Macaca fascicularis: one gene and its partner. The protein of the gene in region 1 purifies or fractionates together with the protein of each later gene. This does not show direct contact. Links are inferred from orthologs where the notes say so. Each region holds a gene or a part of one and is shown on either strand. Other genes may lie near its edges.

Region 1 (7,729 bases):
TCCCTAGGTTAGTCCTGGGCCACCCTAGGGTCATCTGGGGCTACAGTCTCTTAGGCCCAGGGTTGCCAAGCAGAGACCAGTGTCCTGCTACTGCCCACAGGGTGGCTGTAGGAGGGCACTCCCAGTTACTCTGGTCTCCATAAAAGCACAACAAGAGGAAGCAGGTGTGTCACAGTGAAACACACTCAGGTTAGACCTGGGGAACACCTGCTGAGAAGGGGAAGGCTAATACATGAGTTTCCTAATGTGTCCAACTCCCTCCTGGGAAGCTCTGGGAGGCTCCAGAATCCCCCTACCCTCAATCTCCCAGCCTGCTTCCCTTCCTTGGCTACTGGGACAGGGTGGGAAGATGAGGCTGGCATGGCTGTTCTCGGGCTGGGGTTCAGGATGCCTAGGTTCCTTGTCTAAGTCTCAGGCTAAGCAGGCCTCTATTTCCTCTGGGAAAATGCCAAACTGGGCTGACCTAGCCAGAGCTGGGAGGCGGGAGGCAGCCAGGCTCTTAAGAGGCCTTGTCGGCCGGGCGCAGTGGCTCACACCTGTAATCCTGGTACTTTGGGAGGCCGAGGTGGGCAGATCGCCTGAGGTCCAGAGTTCGAGACCAGCCTGACACGGAGAAACCCCGTCTCTACTAAAAACACAAAATTAGCCAGGCGTGATGGCACATGCCTGTAATCCCAACTTGGAAGGCTGAGGCAGGAGAATCACTTAAACCCGGGAGCCGGAGGTTGTGGTGAGCCAAGATCATGCCATCGCACTCTAGACTGGGCAACAAGAGCAAAACTCCATCTCACCAAAAAAAAGAAAAAAAAAAAGAGAGAGAAGATGCCTTGTCTATTCAGCTCTGATGCTGGGAGACTGGAAGGGGAAAGGGTGGAGTCAGGTCCTGGACCCTCACCAGCAGCCCATCTTCCCAGGGCCAGCCCCATGCTGTAGGCCAGGCAATCACATGGTAATGGGGAGAGGGGAGGGCAGGGAAGGGCACTGGCCATAGTATTCTAGAACCTCAGGGCCAGGGGGTTTCAGAGGGGCTCCCCAGGCAGAGACCACCTCTTTGCCAGGTGAGTGGTCAGCCAACGTTGGCTCGTGGCTCAGGCACCTTCCCCACAGGTTGAGGCAGCCAGCAGTGGACACTCCTTCAACAATGCCAGTCCTACTCATAGAGGGAGTGGAGGAAGGCCTGTGCCAGGCACTTTAGAGCCCCTTGGTTAGTTAGTTGACACTGTCCTTACACCTTCCTCTAAAGTAGGTGTCACCATCCTGTTATTTATATAAAGGCAGCTCAGCAGGTCAGTGACCTGTCTAAGGTCCCTCCACCCTGGGTCTAAGTGGCATGTCTGAGCCTGGAACCCATATTCAGTTGAGTGCCAAGTTGCCTGTGCCCTCCAACACCCTGGCTGCTTTTGGGACTCACAGTAATGACAACCACAACAGCAACAGAGGGGAAAGATGCACACGCTCCAGTGTATGGGTAATGGCGCTGCAGCAGGCCAGCCTGGAATATTCTGTAGCTTTTTAGAAGCAGTATTACTTAGACCATGTAGCACCATGAGAAAATGCCCACAGACGCAGTATTAAATGAAAAAAGGTGTCACGGTACACACACTCCAGTGACAACGGCGACGAAGGAAAAAGACAGGGAAAAGACCAGCAGGGAACTCCAAAATGCTAACACAGTCACTGCCTGCTGAAGAAATAGTGGGTGATTTTTGTTTCGTTTTCTAAATTTCCTGTAGCGCTGTTTTGTTATTTTCTAAATCAAGAAAATGAGTACATTCGGTTTCCCTAGAACGAGCTCAGATTCACTTCCCTGGGACCCGCCTGCTCCCTAAAGCTGGCCCAGGTGTCTGGGACAACTTCTGCCACGGGATGCCTTTCTCATTTGGGACAGTCCCTCAGACATAGGAGAATCTGTCTCTACTTTCTCTTTCCCAGACTCAATCAACATCCTTGGTTCTTTGAAGACGACTTGTCAAGGTTTTAAAATCCTTCAAAAGATGGAGCCCAGAACTGCACCCAGACAGGTCTGCCCCCTTTGGGGGGAGCAGCCACATCACACTGTGGATCATGGGCCTCAACCCCTACCTATATTTGTTTGGAGGAAGCTGCATTCTGTCCCCAAACTTTCCAACCCTTGCCATGGGCCACTCTGTGTGGCTCAGCCTTTTGGGGTCTGGCCCCCCTGCAGTGGTAAATGGGAATATTTTCTGGTCTTTCCTTGCCCCGACCCAATGCAGAGAGAAGAGCAGCCGCTTCTGAGAGGGAGGAGGGCACCAAGCTCACTCCCTCTCAGAATGAACGAAAAGCACATCCCCGCACACGTGCTAGCCAGAAGCCAGACTCCTTTCTTCAAAGGCCCTGGACCCTGGGTCGCACCCTCACAGCTCACAGTTGGTAAAAATTAAAATAAAATAAAAATTAAAAAGGCTGGCTTGGGGTGGGAGGGAGCCAACCATGTCAGGCTCCAGCCCGAAGTCCCTCAGGCTGGAAAGGAAGTTAGGGCTGGTGTGGGGCCATGTGAGGGGAGTCTCACAGGCCCAGGACATCTGGGTCCCCTCCACTGTGCATGTCAGGACAGCCAGAAAAAAACTGAAAAAACAAAAAAACCTAAATTGTGAGCAGGGACCCAGCAGGACAAAACTGCCAGCAGCTCCAAGGGAGCCCAGACACCACTCAACACCCTCCAGGGCACTGCCTGCTCTCCTGGGCCAGAGGATCCTGCCAGGCCCCGACTTCACCCCTGCTGCCCTTGCCCTGTTCCTGCTGTGGCTACAACCAAGAAAGACATTGGAACGGCCAGGGTACTAGGAGCTTGAAATAGGCCCCCTGGGTGTCCCCACTCTGTAGCCTGCTGCCAGTGGAGACAGGGCTTCCACGATTCCCATCTGACCCCATTTATATTCTGAACTTGGCTGCTCCTGTGCCAGCTGGGCCATAGGTGTGGGGAGCGCTGGGTCAGGACTGACCACCAGGTTGTTTCAACTCAGAGCCGGGGCCAGGAGCCGGCCTTCCTGCCACACCACACAGATGGCCCCACACCACACATTCCCCACATCTCCTGCTAGCTGACCCAGCCACAGCTGGGGCCGGAAGCCCTTTCACTCCCTCCAGCCCTCTGCAGGGAAGCACGTGCTCAACCAACAGCCCCTCCGGGGCCAGGCTGGGGGGCCTGTATACCCAGTGGGTGAAGGTGCCTGCCTGGTTTCCTTCCACCCACAGCCATCCAGCCCTGCAGAGCTGGGGATGAAAGGATAGCCAGCCTAACTCCACTAGGGGCCTGGGGTAGCAACTTCTCCCTTTGAGCCTCGGTTCGCGGGTGTACAAAATGGGCGGGGAAGTGAACTGGTAGTTAAGCTCCAAAAATCTGCTGGCTGGACACACCCCTTCCTGACACCTGGTCTGGACCACAAAAAGCCTAGGAGAATGGGTGCCCCAGGGTGCCAGAAGGTGGGGGCATGGTGCTAACGCTCAGTCACCTCCACCCAGGCGGAAGGCCTGCCCAGTTTCCCACCCAAAGGTCAGAGGTCCCTTGGCTTACGCCTGGTCTTCTGAGAGGCCAAGGGTGACAGACTCAATCCCAGGACCTGGGCTTCTAACTGCTCACCCGAGGTGGCTGGGCCCTGGGCTTGCTTGCAGCCCGCAGGGTCACGGTGGGATAATGAGGGAGGGATCAGAACCAAGCAAGTCAGGGCACCTGCAGGGAGGTCCTGGACAGGGAACGGCAGGGGAGTCCAGCACTCTCTCTAGGGACCTGGCCCATACGGATCCTCTTCCTCCAGACTCCAGCCACCTCCTACTCTGAGCTCCACAGAGCGGGGACTCGAGATGACCCGAGAAGACAAGTCCGTGGAGCTTAAGGGCAGTACGTCCCTCGTGCACTCCCTTCCCATTTGGGTTCTGACAGTGGCTCCTGGGAGAATTCGAACCCTTGCAAGGGAGTAAAGGAGAGAGGGGAGAGGGGGGAGAAGGGGGGAATGGGAGTGGACGCGACAGTGGCAGCAACAGAGACCAGACGCGCGACCTCCACCCTCTTCCCTCCAGGGGACACTCCGGGACGGCCGGGCACTCACCTCTCTTGGGGCACTGCGGTCCAGGCCACCCCGCCGCGGGCGGCATCAGCGGCCTGCGGGACGGTCCATGAGGTCAGGGGGGAGGGGAGGGGCACAGGGGTCCCCAGGGGGTACGGTACAAAGAGGTATGAGTGCGAGGCGAGGGGAGGAGGGACCGCCAGGCAGAGGCAGGGGGACGGCCGCAGGGCCCGGGTAGCGGAGGGAAGAAAGGCGGGGGAAGGGGGCGGGAGGGAGTCGGGGGGAGGAAACAATGTAGCCGGCGCGGACCCGGCAGAGTTCCGCTTCCGAGAGCCGCCACTGAGGTTCGATTTTGGAACGTCGCGCTGGCTGCCGGGGGCCGCCCCGGACGCTCGATCCCGGCCGCGAGGCTCCTCGCGCTCCACGCCCCGCGAGCTCCGGCGGCCAGAGACTGGCTGGGGCGGGAGGGACGGCGGGCCGGGGTATGGCCCCGACGGCGGCGCAGGAACCCGCCCCGGCAGGATCCCCCGGGCAAGGCGCGGGTGGGGCAGGAGCGGGAGGGCAGCAGCGGGCTCGGCGGCGGCGGCCAACCTCGGCTTGCCCGGGGCTCCGCTGGGAGGAAGCTCGCAGGCCTGGCGAGAGGAAGCGCGGCCCGGATCCTCCGCCCGCGGCAGCGCGCCTGCGCGAGGGGGCCTGCCCGGCGCGCGGCGGGGCGTGGGCCGGCAGGGCGGCGCCCCCTGCCGGGCGCCGGGGGCACTGCGGGGGGTGTGTCCGCGCCCACGCCCTGCCCCCACTTGCCTGCCTGGCTACGTTGAAGGCTCCAGGGTCTCCCCCACAGCGCACACCAGCCGGCCTGGGAGCAACCTCCCAGCCTTCTCTGGACGCAGCTCTCCCGCTGCCAAAATGCTGGGGGCCGGGCCTGGGCCCCTCTCCTCAGGTCTGTTTGTGGAGAGTGGGCCTGACTCCCGGCAGAAAGCCTTCATTCATTCATTCACCAACATTTCCTGGCGCTGACATCGTGGCGGAGCCTGCTCTGGAGTCTATTGGCAAGATCATTTCACTACCGTCAAGGCGTTCTCGGTCGGGTGGGGGTAGACTGACAGGCCAACAGACAATCGCAAGGAAATAATTGATCAAAGTGGAGAGGTGGCGGACACGGTTCCCAGGAGGCAGAAGGAAAGCGAGGGCTAACGGGGAGACCTCACAGAGCTGGGACTGGGCAGAGGGAACTGCACGCACAAGGGCGGGGAGTGCGGAGGGAGCTTGGTGGCTTCTGGGATCTAAAAATAGCTCAGGCGGCTGCCGCTTGCAGTGTGGGTGGGGGAGAGTGGTGGGAGATGGGTTCCTGCAAACAACAGGGGCAAAAAAGATCTAAAGAGCCTCATGGGACTTTCTTGGAGTTTATGTTCAGCCTGGAGGCAATAAAGAAGTTGTCAGCAGCTCCGTGACCTTGGGCAAGTTACTCAACCTCTCTGTGCTTAATTTCCCCGTTTGGTAAAATAGGTGATATATAATGGCACCGACTTCTTAAGTTTTTGTGGGGAGGGGAGGAAATTAGTTAATACATTTAAAGTGCTTAGTGTGCAGTAGCTGGCACGTGAGGAGCCCTCCGTTAAGCAAGGGCTGTTATATCATTGTTAAAAAGAAGCAGGGAGATGACCTGCTCTGAGCCACAGGAGAGGACAGCGTGCTCAGGCATGACGCAGGTGGGAGAGTGCAGGGTGGCGGGGGAACAGAATGGGGGTACAGTGGTGAGGGCGAGACTGGGGAACAGAATGGGCATACAGTGATGAGGAGGAGACCAGAGACTCCAGCGTAGGGAGGAGGTGAAGGTGGGGGACTTTCTAGGGACTAGACCCTGAAGCAAGGGTCAGGCTTATGTGGACAGAGGGAAGAGGCACTCTTGGGGTTGGTGGGGAGGAAGTGGGGCATGCTGACAAAGTCTTGTAACACAAAATAAGCATGAAGAGGCCCAAGGGAGCGAGAAGAGGGCAAAGAGCCCTGTGGGAGACAGAGCTGGGAGACAGTATGGCTGCAGTTGTTTTAAAGAGCCTTGGATGCCAGGAGCAGGAGCTGCCCCCAAAACCACAGGTTGGCCCTCTGACCCAGGGCACCCTTAGGCCGGTTTCCCAGCTGAAGCCAGCCCTTTGGGGAGGGATGTCCTTTGAGGAGACAGTCATGAATTTCAGCGATAGGTGTGGTGTGATAGAAAAAAGATGAATTTGGGGTTGAAGTCTCCAAATTAAATTTCAACCCGTTCACTTACTAGCTGTGTGACTTAGGGCTGGTTACCTAAGGTCTCTGAGCTGTTTCCTCTTTTGTAAGATCAGACTCAAAATACTCTTCTCTCATGATAGATAGTGCAGATTCAGCAAGATAACGGCCGGGGGTGAGGGAGTGGAAAGGGTGCTCAGCAGAGCTGGTTTCCCTTTCTTTCTTCTGAGGTCAAGATGGAATGATAATATGGGGTGGGATGGGGGGGCCGCCTCTCAGCCTAAAAGAAAGCTCTTCAGCAGCTCTGCAAAGGCTTCTGGGAGGAATAAATTGACATCTCCTCTCCTCTGGCTGAATCAGCTAGCAGAATGGGAAAGAAAGGACTAGGGATTTGGGGAAAATACTCTAATCCCTGTTCCAGTTTTGTCACCAACCTTTCTTTATCCCCAAATACACTTGACTTTTTCCCCTGGGTGTGCTGTGGCCCAGCTGTGAACTTTGGAGTCAAATAGACCTGCATTTGAATCCTGGCTCCACCTCTTCTCAGCAGAGTGAAATAAATTTTTTAATCTTCCTGTACTCCAGGCACTGGGGATAAAACCATAAACAAATCGATAAACGGCCCCACTCCCACAGACCTGTCCTCTGGTGGAAGAGCCAATTAACTTCTAACATCATCATTCATTCATTCACTCATTCGTTCTCTCAACTAATGCGTATTGAGCACCTACTAAGTGCTAGGTGTGAAGTGCTAATTAGGGAAAGGGAGTCAGGTCAGTGGGAGCAAGGGAAAGCAAAAAGAGAAATTCGATAAGCTATGAGTGTGCCTTTCTTCATGTCCAGGACATAGCTCTCTTCATGTCCATTGCAGAGAGCTCTCCTGTGCAAGCAATTCACAATCTTCCTGTGCCCAACTATCACCAGTCTCCTGCAGGTTAGCTCACTGCACCCTCGGCGTCGATACTGCACAAAAACCTTCTCAACAGATAGCATAACACTATTCTATAAAATCTCCAACAACCTTTTGTTTCCTGGCAGTCAGCTTCTCTTCTACCTTCTTGCAATGTATTTTCCTACTTTTTCTAATAAATCTGCCTTTATCTACAACTGTCTTGGCAAGTTTTTTGTTTTGTTTTGTTTTGTTTTGAGACGGAGTCTTGTTCTGTTGCCCAGGCTGGAGTGCAGTGGCATGATCTCGGCTCACCGCAACCTCCCGCTCTAGCATCCAACCATTCTGTCTTAGCCTCCCACATAGCTGGGACTGTAGGTATGTGCCACCATGCTCAGCTAATTTTTTATTTTTAGTAGAGATGGTTTTCACCATGTTGGCCAGGCTGGTCTCAAACTCCTGACCTCAAATAATCTACCCGCCCTGGCCTCCCGAAGTGCTGGGATTACAGGCGGTAGCCACGACGCCTGGCCTCGGTAAATTCTTTTACCTCCGCACCACCGGTCACCCGCTACACTAGGCGTTGTTCTGGATGCTGGAG
Region 2 (7,676 bases), on another chromosome or scaffold:
TGCCCAGCTAATTCTTGTATTTTTAGTAGAGACAGGGTTTCACCATGTTGGTGAGGCTGGTCTCAAACTCCTGACCTCATGATCCGCCTACCTCAGCCTCCCAAAGTGCTGGGATTACAGGCGTGAGCCCCCACACCAGGGCATTTTTTTTTTTTAAGACCAAGGCTAGAAAAGAGAGGTACCCTTGCTGACTTTAATCAAAGGGAAGTTGGAGTGGCTATATTAGACAAAATAGGCTACAGATCAAAGAACATTACCAAGGATATAGAAAGTCCTCTCATAATAATAAAAGGATTGATTCATCAAGAACACGTTAACAATCCTAAACATGTAATCACTGATATGGTTTAACTATGTCCCCACCCAAATCTCATCTTGAATTCCCATGTGGTGTGGGAGGGACCCAGTGGGAGGTAACTGAATCATGGGGGCAGGTCTTTCCTGTGGTGTTCTCCTGATAATGAATAATTCTCATGAGATCTGATGGTTTTATAAGGGGGAGTTTCTCCGCACAAGCTCTCTCTCTTTGCCTGCTGCCATGTGAGATGTGCCTTTCACCTTCCAAAATGATTGTGAGGCCTTCCCAGCACGTGGAACTGAGTCCATTAAGCCCTTTTTCCTGTATAAATTGCCCAGTCTCGGGTATGTCTTCATTAGCAGCATGAAAATGGACTAATACAATCACCTAATTAAAAACTTCATGGCCGGGTGTGGTGGCTCATGCCTGTAATCCTAGCACTTTGGGAGGCCGAGGCGGGCGGATGGATCACCTGAGCTCAGGAGTTTAAGACCAATCTGGCCAACACGGCAAAATCCCGTCTCTACTAAAAATACAAAAATTAGCCAGACGTGGTGACAGGCACCTGTAATCCCAGCTACTTGGGAGGCTGAGGCAGGAGAATCGCTTGAACCGGGGAGGCGGGGACTGCAGTGAGCTGAGATTATGCCATTGCATTCCAGCCTGGGTTGACAGAGTGAGACTCTGTCTCAAAAAAAAAAAAAAAAAAAAAAAAAGGAAAGTAAAGGACAGTGTCCTGAACCTGAAAAGCAGAAACCTTCACATAGGTTCTGATACCTACACTACAGGCTCCGTGGCCCAGGACAAGTCACAACCTCTCTTAAATAGAAAAGATATCCTCCCCTCCTGTCTCTGAACAGCTATTATAAATGACCAAATGCTATACCATCTATCAGTTCATAGGAATCACTGGGGCAGTTTTTAAAACAGCTGACCCAGTCTCCACCCCAGACCAATTAAATCAGATTACCTGGAGGTTGAATCAGAACACTGGAATGCTGTCAAACCCCCCCCAACCCCAACTCCATCCCGTGATTCCAATTTGTGGCCAAGACAGAACCACCACTGTATATGACAGACTATTCTATAAGTATCTACATACATTTAAGGCACTGTTATTATGCAGTTGTTACTATGTCGGTATCTGGTTTTTTCAAAGAGATTGCATCCTTTCTGATAACAGAGGTTGTGTGTTCAATGCTCTGCAAAAGAAGGATAATGATGCTGCTAATTATGCAGTTGGTAACACTAGCCAAGTGCTTCTGTGTCATTACCGTAATCACCACTAGTCTACAAACCGCGATGGTGAGATGCAAAACCAAGATGCAGCACCACACAGGCAATGGATGTGGCATATGGGACTCGGGCCCCATATGCCTCAAGCCCCAGTCTCACGCTCAGACAAGAGTAGCATTCAAACACTTAACAAACACATCTCTCTATTGCAATGCAGCAGCTGGTACATACTTTTCACTCATACTGCAGTTATTTGTGTATACGCCTTCTCTCCTGTGCTAGATTGCAATTTCCTAGATGCAGGACACCAGGCTCTTTCCCCTTTGTCCTCTTAGGGCCCTGCCCAGCGCCTGGCAGACAGTGGACCATGGACCCTCAATTAATATTTGTTGACCAAATGAATTAGCCACAGTCTGTGGGCCAAGGAAAGATACTGTGACCTTTTATTCCTTACAAACACCTTTATTCCAACCAGGGAGAAAGAGGCACTGTTTTCTGCAGCTTTCTTGCCCACTGGTCCACAGCTAGAAAACTTAAAGAGGGAAACAGCAGAAGCGCTGCTGCGAGGGCTCAGCCATTTGAATTGCTGGATCCCTGAGGAGTTCATTTAAGATAGTGTAATAACATCTGCTCACGCTTCATCTGTACATAACATCTCTATTGTGAAATGAGACCAGACGGGATTAGACTGCCCTTGTTTTCACCTGATACTGTGCTTTCATTTCTCCCAAAGGGGGAGAGGAGGCAGCAATGCTGAAGTATTTAGCAGGCTCAGTTCAGGAATCTAAATTGCACTTAATTGTTAGGAACAAAATGTTGGAAGGGTAGAAAGCAGGCTGCTGGTTCCACAAGGACTCCCTGAGGGGGACACAGTAATTAGTGCTGGTCTTGATTGTGAGGTCTCTTTTCAGAAAGAAAAATCTCTGCAAAATTGAACAGGGAGGTGCTCCACATGAATGCTCCACTCTGCCGAAATGCAAAACCGCAGGGACCTCTCGGATAGGTTCTCCCGGCTAAAGGTCGCCTGGCAAAATGGTTACACACGCAAAAGTGCAAAGCTGCATCAGCACAATCCCTGCTATGTTTTCCTTTCAGGAAATATTCAGCTCCACCGTAGTAAAAGGATTTAGGTGGGCATTCAGGCACCTGGGAAACCTTCAGAGGCATTCTAGAGAGGCAGGCACTGATGAAAAACACATTCCCAGCCCAACTTTACTCTGATATTAAACAGCCAGGAACACTTCCGGGCCTCGGGGATATTTCCCAGCCCACAGGGAGCCAGTATCTGGGGCAAGAGGGACACCCTCCACATCCAGCACATATTGTTCCCACACTTCCAGGCAGCAGCGTTTGACCACTAAACTTTAAGAGGGAACGCAGTACACCTCAAGTAACTAGCTGAAATTTTAACAGTTTTTCACTCCACAGAGCCTTACAAAAGTTTCAGAAAAACAAATGCAATAAATTCCTGATTGTTAGACTTAGGGAAAGGGCGCTGAACCTAGCGGGAGCCAACCAGGACGGGTCTGTTTAATTCAAACACCGTGAAGGGCCGTCCTGTGGACCGCAGAGCGCCGCTGGAACCATGCGGTCCACAGGGAACCTGTAAGGATTCCTACATCCCAGCGCATCCCCCACATTATTGAAGAGCTAAAATGCCCTTTACCTTTGCAAGAAACACGCGAGAGACAGCAGGTCTGCGTAATGGCCAGAATCCCAATTCCATTGCAGGGAAAGGAAACCAAGAAGCCTTTTCAAGAGGCTGTTGGGTTGGAAAGAGCTAAGCCTGGACCCTCTTCCATGCTTACCAGAAGCCGCTCCCACTAGGCAAAGCTCCACTGGCCCTCTCGCTCCTTGTCCTGCGCGCACACACACAAGGGTACACACGTACCCACAAGGGTACACACGCACCCACCAGGACTCTGGCACGGACCAGCGTACACATGCCTGTACACACAGACGCGCGCTCACAAGCACGCACGCGTGGACGTGCAGACGGGGGTGCACAAACACACACCGACATACGCGCACTGACAAGGGCACACGCATACACATGAGCACAGGCGGGTACACACCGGCACAGCGTCCACGGGCACCAGCGCACACCCGGCGCAGCCCACGTGCGTGCAGCCCTGAAGGCGCCCGTGCCTCGCGCCCCCGGCCCCGCACCCCAGCTCCGGGCCGCACTCACCTGGCGCCGGCGCCGGCGCGCCCGGGTTCCGCGCGCGAACCCTCCCGGTGGCCCGGGGGTCAGGGCGCGCAGCCGCATGGCCGCCCCTGCCGCCCGCGGGGAGCCCGACCCGGCCAGGCGAGGACCCCTCCCCAGTGGCGGTCGGGGCAGAGGATGCCTCCCGAGTTCCCTGCGGACACAAGTCCCAGCAAATGGCCAACACGGGAGGAGCGAAGGGCTCTCCAGGTCCCAGCCGCGCGCCGCCGCCTCCACGGCCACTCCTGTCCGTCAGAAGTCAGACGCCGGGAACAAAAGGCAGGCGCGAGAGCACGGTCCCGCACGGCGTCCCTCCATCTGACACGAATTAGCCCTCCCTCCCCCGCCCGCCCCAACCGCAGCTCCGAGCGAGCGCGGAGGCACAGGCTGAGCCGCCAAACACTGGAAAAGTGGGTGAAGAAACGCCTTCCAGGCGGAGGGAGCAGGGTATTGCAGCCGCCATCTGACTGGAATTACGGACGCGCGGAGCTTGGTGCAGGGTTCAGCTTTACTAGGATTTCAAACCTCTCCGAGAACGCTGGCGAGGGGCTTAAAAGAATCAAAACCGGGCACGCTCTTCGACTTTCGGAATTTCTAAATCTTAACTATTATCCAGTCAACTCTGCATCTGTAATGAGCAGTAATCTGCACTACCCTGGTAATCTACACTGGCAAACAGGGCATTTGGAGTGGAAAACAGGGAAACACCGAGGCAGAAAGGCTTTTTTTCTAATTTGCCTTTTCAACTAGGAAAAACTAGGAGCCTGGCCTTGCAAAGGACACGCCTAACCAGGTGAGGATTTCAAGCAAAGCTCAAAGCACAGGACCGCCCGGGGCCTTGCACACCTGGGGGCTGGGCTGCACCTCCCTGCCCCCCTCCCTATCTCCCAGCCCATCCCTCCCCCGCACCGCCCCTCCCAACCCCCCCGCCGTCCTGCTCCTGGCAAATCAGGAAAATTCACAGCAGATCTCGAGTCCCGTCTTCCTTTATGGGTCTGCGATTTTAGAAGGAAATTAGAAACCCGAGGTTCAGGAGGTGAAGATGACAGGGTGATGGAAGAAGATGGACAAGCCAGGATCCTGAAGGAAGGGTCACTTAGAAACGCAGGAGGAGAGGTGGGCAAGATCCACAGGCAGATCCCTCCTTTCAACGCCTGTCGGACTTCACCAGCCTTCCCGGGGCAGTGGATCTTGGCTGTCTACAAGAAGCTTTGTGGCAAGACTGAAAATAAAAGATCATGTTCAAGATGAAGCCACTGCCTGTGGTCTGTGGGGGGCAGGGGAAGAGATCCCTGCCTCAGAGTAGGATAGGGGGCCTTCTAGCCTCAGGCCAGCTAACCCTGTACTCCTACTACCGGCCTTCACTCCAGGCCCAGCCTAGGGGTAGTGTCCCAGAGCTCAGCCTTTGTGGCTCCAACACTCCAACTTCGGATCTACAACTCCACGTGCAACTCCACATGCCTTGGATGTGGGGAGCAGTATGGGTGGGCTAAGTCGTGGCCTTTATGGCTGACATATGTGCAAATTCCAGCCATCAATTCAACTGGCCGACGTTAACCTCTCAAGTTCTGGCACTAAATATCCATCTTTCCGTTTCTGCAGTAGAAGAGCAAAGCTGCTCTTCAACTTTCAACTACAAAGGAAAAAACCTCCTCCTAGAACACACCATTCTGGGTTCCAATTCCTCACTAAATCATCACCTGGCAGACAAGCAGGCATTCTCATTTCCCCCTGTCCTTCAAATGACATCATTACTCACCTTTTTCTATATTCATTCCTTCCTTCATTTTCCTGTATTCATTCATCATTTTTTTCCTATAGCGTATCCAAACTTTAGTTTTTTCAAATGTCTTTCCCTGAGAACACATCTGTATCATATTCATTCCAGATTCCTTCACATCTGACACAATACCAGGTACACAGAAGTGTCTACAAACAGCTAAGAACAGGACATGCTGCTGTCGTGGTTTACCCAAGACAAACACGCCCAGAGGTCAGCTGGATCTACCACCGCCCTTACCACGGTGCCCACGGGAACCGGCCGAAGAAATCTGAATTCAGCAATGAACAGATAGCTCCCAGCAGGATAAAACTCCTCCAACCTGAGTACCAGGATTCACACTCTCTGGGGTCCACCCAGGAACAATGGTCAGGAGCACAGGCCAGCCCACTGCCCATGCAAGCCAGAGTGGAAGGCAAATAGTTGAAGGTGGCTTTTTATTACAGGGATACCCTGAATCTGCTCTTATTTAAAAGGGTAGCCATTCAGAAAACTCCCATACTTCATTACTAGTAACAAATAACATGCATGTGATAAACCTCCCGAGTGAGGACAACAAACTGATTTTTCACTGGCAAGAAACTGCTCAATCCTAAGGCCAATCCAAATTCTCCAGCAGGCCACCTCTCCAGCCCCTCTCCCTGCCCCCCTCTGACCTCCTCCTGCCAGGCTTGCAATCTAGGCTCTTACCCTCCAGGGTCCTTCTGCTTTGCACCCTTGGGCTCACCTGGGGCTTCTCCCATTCTCTTTTCTGGCTGAAAACCGCTGTCCTGGGCTCAGTTGAAGATCCGCCTCCCATCTGACCTCCCAGACTGGTTAATCATCCTCCATGGCTGAGCCACCCAAGGATGGTTGGGGCCCTGACCCTCTAGTGTGGTCATAAGTCTTGTGCCTCCAATAGGAAGTCCTAACCTTGTCTGGGATTTTCCACACACAGCACCAAGCAGGAGCAATAAACACTGGTGCAGGAATGAAAACATTCTGCTTTGCTGTATTTCTACCGCATCAACACTGGTGTTCACTGCCTGTCTCAGACCACACCCTTCTGAGTCCTCCCAGAAGTAAGCTGTAGCTGAGGGTCTGGGGATGCAAAGGGACTCAGAAGCCAGGGCAGGTGGGGGCCAACTCCTCCAGGCACAGACCCTCACCTCAAAACTTGGGTGGCAGACTGGCCTCACTCCATCTTAAGGCCATAGTGAGCTCTATGCTGCTACCCAGCTTCCGATTTTCTTCATGCTTTGCCACAGTCCTCTGTGCTTTTTACTGGCCGGGTTGTCTCACCCTAGCTTCTGACTGCACCTGGTTCCCAGGAACAAAACGAGGTTGTTCCCAGGAACAAAACGAGGTTCTTCCCTGGGAGGATGGATTCCAGACAGCTAAGGCAGACATCAGCAAACCAGGCATCAGGAAGAGAGGCTACATCTCAACCTGGATTGGAAACCCAGCTGGAACTGGGGACATGAGCCCTTCCATGAGTCAGACTTTAACACCAAGTACAAGGTTCCGTGGGAGAGAGCTGAGGGGCCACTCATGCCCCTGTTTTGTCATTGGAAACTGGAGGCTGCTCCTATGCGTCCATTCCCACACACGATCATGCATTCACCCACAGATATGTGAGCAGCGTGTGTGCTTGGTGTCAGAGGAAATACAGCAGCTGGCTCACCCCGTCCCTCCCAGAGGGATGATCTACACACAGCATTAAGAGGGGGCACGGAGTCCCCAGATCATGGAAAGAACTCGACGAGTGGGCTGTGACTTGAAGCAGAAGCAGGCACTTTCCAAACAGGAAAAGAGGTGAGGAGAGGCAAAGGTGGTAAGGCACCGTGTTGTTGGTGAACTGGCCAAAGGCTGGGTGGCTAATGCACAGCTGTGTTGGGACGCTGAGGGTAGACAGGGCTCAAGAAGCAAGACAGGGTGGTGAGCAGAATTGCACAAAGCAGTGACAAGGGAGGAGGCCCTGGTACTGAGCTGGGCTGGACTCCAAGGTCACAGGGGGCTCTAACTGGCAAAAAGGAAAAAGCATCACAGGTGTATGTTCATCCTGGAGGACTCCCTGGCAGCCCTGGGAGGACACTCAGGAGAAAGCAGGAGTGGCCATGGAAACTCTAGGTAAGAGAACCTCAGCCTCGGGCAACAGCCCTAGAAACACAGATAAA

What was found. Proteins that work in one complex are often made in the same cells at the same time.
Region 2: the proteins of CSK (region 1) and TNS3 purify together in Homo sapiens (affinity purification with mass spectrometry; 4 studies listed by BioGRID and IntAct, with this or other methods). This does not show direct contact. The link is inferred for Macaca fascicularis from reciprocal best matches to the Homo sapiens genes CSK and TNS3.

The regions. Positions count from the first base shown.
Region 1 is NC_088381.1:51,900,840-51,908,568, reverse strand, and holds the start of CSK (tyrosine-protein kinase CSK), read right to left. Parts: upstream 5,265-7,729; 5' UTR 4,824-5,264; intron 4,689-4,823; exon of another isoform or gene 4,068-4,688; intron 1-4,067. UniProt on the Homo sapiens protein: Non-receptor tyrosine-protein kinase that plays an important role in the regulation of cell growth, differentiation, migration and immune response.
Region 2 is NC_088377.1:82,955,460-82,963,135, reverse strand, and holds the start of TNS3 (tensin-3), read right to left. Parts: upstream 4,061-7,676; 5' UTR 3,804-4,060; coding exon 3,726-3,803; intron 3,480-3,725; exon of another isoform or gene 3,261-3,479; coding exon of another isoform or gene 3,201-3,260; intron 1-3,200. UniProt on the Homo sapiens protein: May act as a protein phosphatase and/or a lipid phosphatase. Involved in the dissociation of the integrin-tensin-actin complex. EGF activates TNS4 and down-regulates TNS3 which results in capping the tail of ITGB1.